Coturnix japonica: one gene and its partner. The protein of the gene in region 1 purifies or fractionates together with the protein of each later gene. This does not show direct contact. Links are inferred from orthologs where the notes say so. Each region holds a gene or a part of one and is shown on either strand. Other genes may lie near its edges.

What was found.
Region 2: the proteins of SPAG9 (region 1) and RCCD1 purify together in Homo sapiens (affinity purification with mass spectrometry; 3 studies listed by BioGRID and IntAct, counting the BioPlex papers as one, with this or other methods). This does not show direct contact. The link is inferred for Coturnix japonica from reciprocal best matches to the Homo sapiens genes SPAG9 and RCCD1.

What each region holds. Positions count from the first base shown.
Region 1 is NC_029533.1:8,775,300-8,779,104, forward strand, and holds part of SPAG9 (C-Jun-amino-terminal kinase-interacting protein 4), read left to right. Parts: intron 1-633; coding exon 634-648; intron 649-1,103; coding exon 1,104-1,161; intron 1,162-1,488; coding exon 1,489-1,641; intron 1,642-1,728; coding exon 1,729-1,780; intron 1,781-2,183; coding exon 2,184-2,314; intron 2,315-3,178; coding exon 3,179-3,235; intron 3,236-3,805. UniProt on the Homo sapiens protein: The JNK-interacting protein (JIP) group of scaffold proteins selectively mediates JNK signaling by aggregating specific components of the MAPK cascade to form a functional JNK signaling module.
Region 2 is NC_029525.1:18,222,856-18,227,176, forward strand, and holds RCCD1 (RCC1 domain-containing protein 1), read right to left. Parts: upstream 2,816-4,321; coding exon 2,665-2,815; intron 2,548-2,664; coding exon 2,196-2,547; intron 1,581-2,195; coding exon 1,459-1,580; intron 1,383-1,458; coding exon 1,278-1,382; intron 1,212-1,277; coding exon 1,068-1,211; intron 998-1,067; coding exon 968-997; intron 830-967; coding exon 591-829; 3' UTR 477-590; downstream 1-476. Other genes in the region: UNC45A (protein unc-45 homolog A), read right to left, coding at 3,147-3,407, 3,511-3,666, 3,747-3,864, 3,962-4,077. UniProt on the Homo sapiens protein: Plays a role in transcriptional repression of satellite repeats, possibly by regulating H3K36 methylation levels in centromeric regions together with KDM8.

The DNA of each region.
Region 1 (3,805 bases):
CAAAATTGCTTAAGAGTTGTGTTTGTAGAATGTCTTAATAAGCCTCCACCATTAAGAGACTTCTTTTCTTGTGCTGATCTTGAATCAGCATCACTTGTGTCATCATTGTGTTAACAGTGGAAGGTTTAATCTGGAAATACTTCTGCTGTACCATGTGTGAACAGACCATATCTACCTTGTTTGTAAAACCCTGCAATTGGTTACTTCATGCATGCAAACAATAGGGATGAGAAGTTAATTTACAAGAGTGGAGATTAGATTGAAGCAGCTACGTGAGGAGTTAAGCTTGTGTTTTGTAGCAGTATATCCCTGTGAAACATACTGAACAGTTAAGCATTTCTGATTACTTGCTTCTAAATTATTTCACAGAAAATACACTTCTATTAAATTACTGAATTTTTTTTATAAGTCCAACCAATAGAAAAGTTTGACAAATTTTGTTTAACAACTTTCATATAAAGTCTCGCTTCTAACCACATCACATTTCACTTCCAGTTATTGGTGGTGGCTTTGTTTTAATTCACTCTTACTTCATAAGTTTAAGTATTTTACTGCTCTTCACTCATACTAGCCCTTACATGAAATGTTTCTTGTTCTTGTTTTTGCTTTACATGGAATGCATGGGCTTTAAAGACCATAATTTCTTTGGTAAGGTATCATTTGCTCTGGGGAAATTTGCAGGGCTTTCACAATGTGAGCTTTAATTGGCATGTTTTGTTTAACTTACATACTTTTGACTCTTACCTGATGTAAAAGACAGCAGAACACTGTAGAATTAACTTTTTGTGTACTGATGCTTCCCCACTGATGCTGTACTTGTTTATTGTCTGTTGAGATGTAGCATCCTCAGTATGTATTTAGTAGGTGGAGGTAGCATCAGCCTGTTAGCCAGGGCTGCCTTTAGTCTTTATTTGAAGGCAGATTGGGAAGAAGGTGGAGGGGAAGCCTAACTGCAGGTGGTAGATCCTGAAATTTCAGGTAGCTTATAATTTTTTTTGCCAGGCTTCGTACTTAAAATTCACCTATTTTTGGATAATGATAAAACTGAGGCTTTTAGGAAATGAATTTCTTCTGCTAATTCTGTGTTTATTTCCTTTGGAAAGGAATGGGTCGTGAGGTGGAAAACCTTATTTTGGAAAACACTCAGCTGTTGGAGACAAAGTAAGTGTAAAAAAATAATATATTCCCGTCCTTCTGTTACATGGAGTCTTGTATCAGTCTCTACATCTTTCTGTCTTGAGGAATGTAACTTCTCGAACAAACTGTTCTGATTTACCTCTTTATTTTCTAATGCAGTGGTACAACGTGTTTTGTGAACCTTGGAGGTTTGGCAGGAGGATTTGGCCTGCTTAAGAAAATCTATCATTTTTTTTAATATTAGCTCTAAGTGAGAAACTTAAGAGTAGTCAGGAATAAAACTCAACTGAAGCTAAATGTGCTATGAGGCCGTAGTCCGTCCTTGTAATGATGTTTAACATGTTCGTCTAGGAATGCACTGAATGTGGTGAAGAATGATTTAATAGCAAAGGTGGATGAATTGACCTGTGAGAAGGATGTCCTGCAAGGTGAATTAGAGGCTGTAAAACAAGCAAAGCAAAAGCTTGAAGAGAAGAACAAAGAACTGGAAGAGGAGCTTAAAAGGTAAGTTTAATACTGAGATTCTGAAAAAGAAAGAAAATTGCTGTGGTATCTAATTCAACTACTTACGTTGTGTTTCTTTTTATTTAGAGCTCGTGCAGAAGCAGAGGAAGCAAGACAAAAAGCTAAAGAGGATGATGATGTAGGTTTATGTGTGCATGCGTGTTTTTGTATTGATAATTCACAAGTAGATGTGAGACTACATGTATTGAGTGAATGCCGTTAAGCTTAATTGCTTAAGAGGTAAACTTTCTCCATGTTAAAACAGATCTGAAGAGGCCAAGTAAACTTAAATTCGCTATCTCTGTCATTCCTGTCCTTCCTGAATAACTGCTTTTATTCAGATTTTACTAAATTTGGAAGGATGGGAGGAGAGGAAGCTGTGGTAGAAAGCACTGGGTAAAATTGAATTAGTTTTTACAAAGCTCCAAACAGTTTAGAATCTGGAATTGTGCCCCAAACTGACTCTTGTCTGAAGGCAGAGGCTGACTCTGCAAGGCCCTGCTGTGCTCCTTTGTTCATTCTGTTTGTTTTTCTGTGTTCAGAGTGATGTCCCCACCGCTCAGCGGAAGCGCTTTACTCGTGTTGAAATGGCTCGTGTTCTGATGGAAAGAAATCAGTATAAAGAGAGGCTGATGGAACTTCAGGAAGCTGTTCGATGGACTGAAATGATAAGGTAAAAGACACTTAGCTCCTCGGATTTCACAAGCTTTATCTGTGTGTGATCTGGTCAGTAGACTTGTCTTCTTGCCTGCCCATGAATAAGTTTTTGAAGTTATGTGCATGTAATGGTTTGCCACAATGGGATCTTGGTGACACCTCTGAGAATGCATTACTTAATGTGATGTGAAACAAACACTGTTTCCATTTTCTCACAGGGTTACAAACCTTTTTTAATCACCACTGTTTTGGGGGGTGAAAAGTTACCGTATGTGTGCACGCATCTTAAAGCGATGTGCTCAGTTAGCAGCTGAGACATCAAGAAAGTAATGCAGTCAGTCTTCAGACTGAGTATAATCCATGTATAAGGTCTTGAATGGTGCAGGAGAAAACACAATTTTAAAATCGTAAGATTTGTTAAGTATTAACTGGTGAACTTGGTCTAGCCTGCATCTTCAGTACTGAGTTATCTGGAGGGGATGGCACCCCCCAGTGGGTTCCATATCCAGTGGTGTCATTTGCTGCTGCCTGCTGGTCAGGTACAGTGAATGATATTCGATTCTTTTTTTTTTCTTTGTTATTGTCCTCAATACCCATGAGTCATTCGGAGTATGAGAAAGAAATGTGATCCCCAAGCAGCTATGGTTTGCTTTTCTGTAGCTATAGTTATTGTCTCTTACAGCAATCTCATTCCTCTGCGTATGCTGGGTTTATGAGTCCAGGATAAATCACCACCATTTATTTACAACTGTATCAAAAAGCCAAATCTTAAAATAAAAAGCACTGGTTAAAATACTAAGGCAGAAGAATTTTTTTTTTCTTTCCCCTTTTAAATTTTCATTAACATTTACTCAGTAAACTTAAAATTTGTTTCTTGTAGAGCATCAAGAGAAAATCCAGCCATGCAAGAAAAGAAGAGATCCAGCATATGGCAGTTGTAAGTATTAAAATACAGCTCATGAACAATAAATAAAAGACCCTAACCAATTAGCTGGCACATTTTTGTATGTTAGCTAATTGTCTTTGAGCAAATGGAGCTGTCTTAATTGTTTTCCTCTTGTTACCTAGCATGCCCACTCGGTAAGACTTTTCTTGAAGACAAATATATCGTAAGCTGCATCATCTAATGAATGGCTGTGCACTTTGTGAAGTTAAATGCCAAAGTGCTGTAACTTTTTTTGTAGCTGAATATGCACCAGAACTTGTTTTGTTGTTTTTTTTACAATGAAAAATAGAAACTTGAATAGCTTGTGTGGATTGCATTTATTTCAGCTTTCTTTTTCTCTGTGAAGTATGGTTTACTCTCAGATTTTCCTTTCTAACTTGAAGCTGTTTAGATCTGAAATTGTGTTATTCACAACAAGATACCTGGCAAATAATCCTCTTGATCTTGTGCATTGCTGATAACTAATACATTTCTAGCTCAGAGTGGTGGAAGCTTTAGAATAATGCCCTGTGCATGAACTAACGTGCATCATAAAACTGTCTTCCGGATCTAGAGTTCACA
Region 2 (4,321 bases), on another chromosome or scaffold:
CCTGCATCTTCTGCCCTCCCTGCAGCAGGCAGGGGTGAGGGCTGGGGGAACAGCCCCAGCAGCTCCTTGAGCTCGGACAAAGTCCAGCAGCCTCCAGTGCTGCCCCTTGCCCTGCTGTGCTCCAGCTGCACTCAGCAGTAAAACACACTGGTTGGTAGTTTGCACCTTTCTTAGCTCGGCCCTCAATCATGACTAATTTGCACCTTGTTATCACTACAGCTCCCCACCTGCTGTTATTTATCCCCAAGTTCTGTCTCCATACCCTGTAACTGTATATACTGTTTATGAGAATAATGCATATCTGTATATATAGCCGCTGCTGTTTGTGTGTTCGTTGGGATGACTGCAATCTCTGTTCTCGGAGCCTGGAGGGGGCAGAGCGAGGGCTGGGCACTTCCCCCTCCTCCCCTCTTGCCCCCCCCAGGGCCTGGAACAGGCAGGAACCGTCCTTGGGAAGCACCGTGAAGCACAACTGCTGCTGTTACAAAACAAATAAGATTTAATAAATACATTCGTTCTGCGTCATCTTCAGCCGTGGCGCCGCTCCAGTCTGAGCTGTGATGTGCAGCAGCGCCGCTCCAGCACTGAGGTCAGGGATGGGGGCTGAGCTCTCCTGGGCAGCTCCCACGCTCAGTCCCAGCTTTCAGGGCTGGAGCTGTGCTGTGGGGATGGGAGCCCTGCGCCCCTCCCTGCTGCAGGACGCAGACATAAGTGCTCCAGGGCCCACAAACCACCTCCAGCGCCTGCAGCCCCTGAGCCCGGAGCTGCTCCACACGCCGTGGCTGGTCGCAGCTGGCGCGGTCCCTGTGCCCGAGCTGCCCGTATTTCCCTGTGGGCAGAGCAGCGCAATGTGGGGCCTGGTGGGAAGATTCACCCCTGGGGCCAGCAGCAAAAGGTGCCAGCGCCCCAAACCAGCCCCTGTATAAGCAAAACAGGAGCAGAACCACAGAGCAGAGGCAGCGCTTACCCCAGCCCCAGGTGTACAGCTCTCCGCCTCCTGCAACCAGGACAGTGCCGTCAGCCCCCAGGCCGGGGGATGCAGGACCCCCCCATCCCCGGGCACTCACTTGTGACCGCAGCCGTGTGCCGTGAACCGCAGCTCACCGCAGCCACTGCCGGCTCCATCGGGAGGTCCAGCAGGGCTGGGAAGGCCTGGATGGAGATGAAGGCAGCGCCCGGCGGCTCCCCGGGCAGCGGCGGATCTTGGAGCCCTGCACACAGCTCTGCTCAGCCCCACAGCTGAGCCCGGCGCTGCTGCAGCCCCACGGCGTCCTCACCTGCACCCACGTCCTCATCCTCTCCCTGCTGCTCCGCCACCGCCCGGGAGGGCAGCCCCAGTTGTCCCGACTCGTTCCAGCCCCACACGTAAAGGTCTCCCCCATCTGTGGAGGTCGGGTCCCGGTCAGGTCGCAGCAGGAGCTGCCGCCCCGCGCCCCCGTCCAGCACCGAGCCCCTCACCGCTGATACAGGCCGAGTGCCACCCGCCGGCTGCCACCTCCCTCACGGGCAGCCCGCACAGCGCCTCCACCAGCCGAGGCTGCTGCTCGGATTCCAGGCTGCCGTGGCCGAGCTGCCCGTGCCTGTGGGGAGACACAGACAGAAGGACACAGACAGACGCCTCCCCCGCTCTGTGCCGGCTGCTCCTGTGTGTGCAGCTCATCCTACGGGGCTGCACAGTACAGCAGGAATCTGCAGCCCAGTGAAACGGGAAGACCAACGATTAATATCCATAAATACAAGCCCCGCTGAGCTGACTGCTATGACAACAGGCACCAACTGCACTGAAAGCCAACGCAGCTGGACCGACCCTGAGTGCTGCAGAAGGAGCCGGCCCTGTCTGCACCGTGCTTCTCCATCAGCTTCGTCTCATGTAAACGGCAAAGAGAGAAACAGACAAAGCTTCCCATAGTGCCGCTGGGTTCTGCTCAGGGACACACACCGACACGGGACCGTCACTGTCAGCTCAGCCACGAGCAGCGCCCCGAGCACAACGGGGCACTGAGCGTCCACAGGGCGCAGTGAAGAACCGAGACCGGAGTCGCTCATTGCAGTCAGTGTTTATGTGTAGCAGCAGCACGAGAACAGGAGCTCGGTTCGCTCCCAGCTCGGCTGGGCGCTCTGCCGGCTCCCTCAGCAGGTGATCGCTGTTTGATAGCGCTCAATAACCCACGGCCACCCCGCGCCCCCCCGCTCACCTGCCGGCTCCCCAGCCGTACACCTCCCCGGCCTGTCCCAGCCCCACCGCGTGCTCGTGTCCCAGCGCCAACGCGCGGAGCGGCGTCTCCCGTGGCAGCGCGGTGTAGAACGGCGGCCGCGGGGCCACGAACCCGCCCGGCAGCAGCGGCAGCGCGGGGCGCGCTCCCGGCGGCAGCTCCCGGCTCCACGCGGGCTCCCCCCGCAGCTCGTCCCGCAGCGCCGCCGCGAGGGGCCACGCCTGCACCGCCGCGCCCCGCAGCAGCACCACGTGCGTCTCCGACGGCAGCGCCGCCGTGCAGTCCTCGGGCAGCGGCCGCCGCCGCCCCGCGCTGAGCAGCTGCAGCCCGGAGCCTGCGGGAGCGGCGGCGTCAGCGGAGCCGGGGGGGGGACGGTCCCAACCCCGCCGGGATCCGAGCGCCGCGGGGCGGCAGAACGGAGGAACCTCGGGGCCGGGGGGGGGGAGCTCACCCGTGTCCAGCACCGCGCAGCTCCACGCGGGACACACGCGGCGGATCACGGCGCCCTTCAGCCCCAGGCGCTGCCGCCCCGGCCCCGGGGCCCCCGCCGCCTCCTCGGCGTTGAGGCCGAACAAGAACCAGGAGCGGCGCGGATCCGCCATGAAGGGGGGGGGGAGATGGGGGCGGAAGGGAGCGGGCGGGGCCGGAGGGACGGGAGGCGGAGCCGCCGTTAAGGAGCAGCTGCAGTTCATCCTGCGGGGCCGGAGCCCCGGTAAGGCACGGGAGGGAATGCGGCCCCAGCTCTGCGGTGTGTCGGCCCCAGCATCGCGGTGTGTCAGCCCCACAAGCGGCGTGCGGCCCCGGGCGGCCCCCGAGCAGCGCGGTGAGCAGAGCGGGGCAGCATCGCATCGCATTGCATCGCATCGCATCGCATTGCATCACATCGCATCGCATCGCATCGCATTGCATCGCATTGCATCGCATCCCATCCCATCACTGCTGGCCGGGATGGGGCTGGATCAGCCCGTACTGCACCGCCCGCTCCAGACTCTCCTGCGCCGCCTGCGCCACGCGCGGTTTGTCCCGGTCCTTGGCCAGCACGGTCAGGATCTCCAGCATCTCGCTGGCGATCAGCAGCTCGGCCACCTCTCGCGCCGCCGCCATCATGTTCATCACCACCACGGCCCCGCGGTGCTGCAGCTCGGCGCTGGGGCTCAGCAGCAGCGCCTGCAGGATCTCCAGCCAGTGCACGGTCTGCGGGCACAGCACCATGTGCTTTGAGGGCCCGAACCCACCCGCGCTGTACGGCACAGCCCCCCCCGCCTGCAGCTCGGGGCACAGGCCGCCCCGCACTCACCACCTGCGGGATCCTCTTGCAGATGGGGGGGTGCAGCGCTGTCAGCATGGCCAGCGTCCCCGATGCCGCCCGCCGCAGCTTCTCGTCCTCCTCCCCGCTGTACAGAACCATCAGCTTCAAGCGGTCGCTGCCCTCATCCAGGAACAGCTCCTGCACCTGCGGGCGAGGTGGGGGCGCTGAGTGCAGCGCAGTGCGGCACAGGGTGGGCTGCAGCCCCTGCCGGAGCCGGCGCTCACCTCCTTGCTCATGGCCATGTTACACATGCACTCGGTGGCAGCCAGGCGGATCAGCTCGTGCTCCTCAAACATGTACCCCTCGATCATGGGCACAGCTCTCTCCTTCAGGATCTTCTGCCTGCAGCGGGGCAGCACTGAGCACCTCCCGCCCCGCGCTGTCCCGGTGCCCCCTCCCCGTGCCCAGGACATCCCAGCCTCTCCCCCCCCGCCCCTACCGCAGCCGCTCGCTGATGCCAGCCAGGTTGGTCAGTGCCATCAGCCCCTCAAAGTTCTCCAGGCCCGAGCGCTGCAGGTGCAGCAGGCTGACCAGGGGCCGGACCACCTCGTAGATCTGTGGAAGACAGCAGGACAGGGCTCAGACTCCAGCCCTTACAGAGCAGGGGCTGAGCACAGTAGAAGGGCAGAGGAGCTCCCATGACCAGGCCGAGGCAGTTAGGCCACTGTGGGGGACCACTGTGCCTCCTAAGCCCAATGCCCTCCCTAGGCAGATGCCTGTCTGCAGCAGCAGCGACACTCCAGCACAGCCCGTCCTGCCTGCTGCTCCCCTGCACTGCCCCGACCACCCCTTGGGCAGG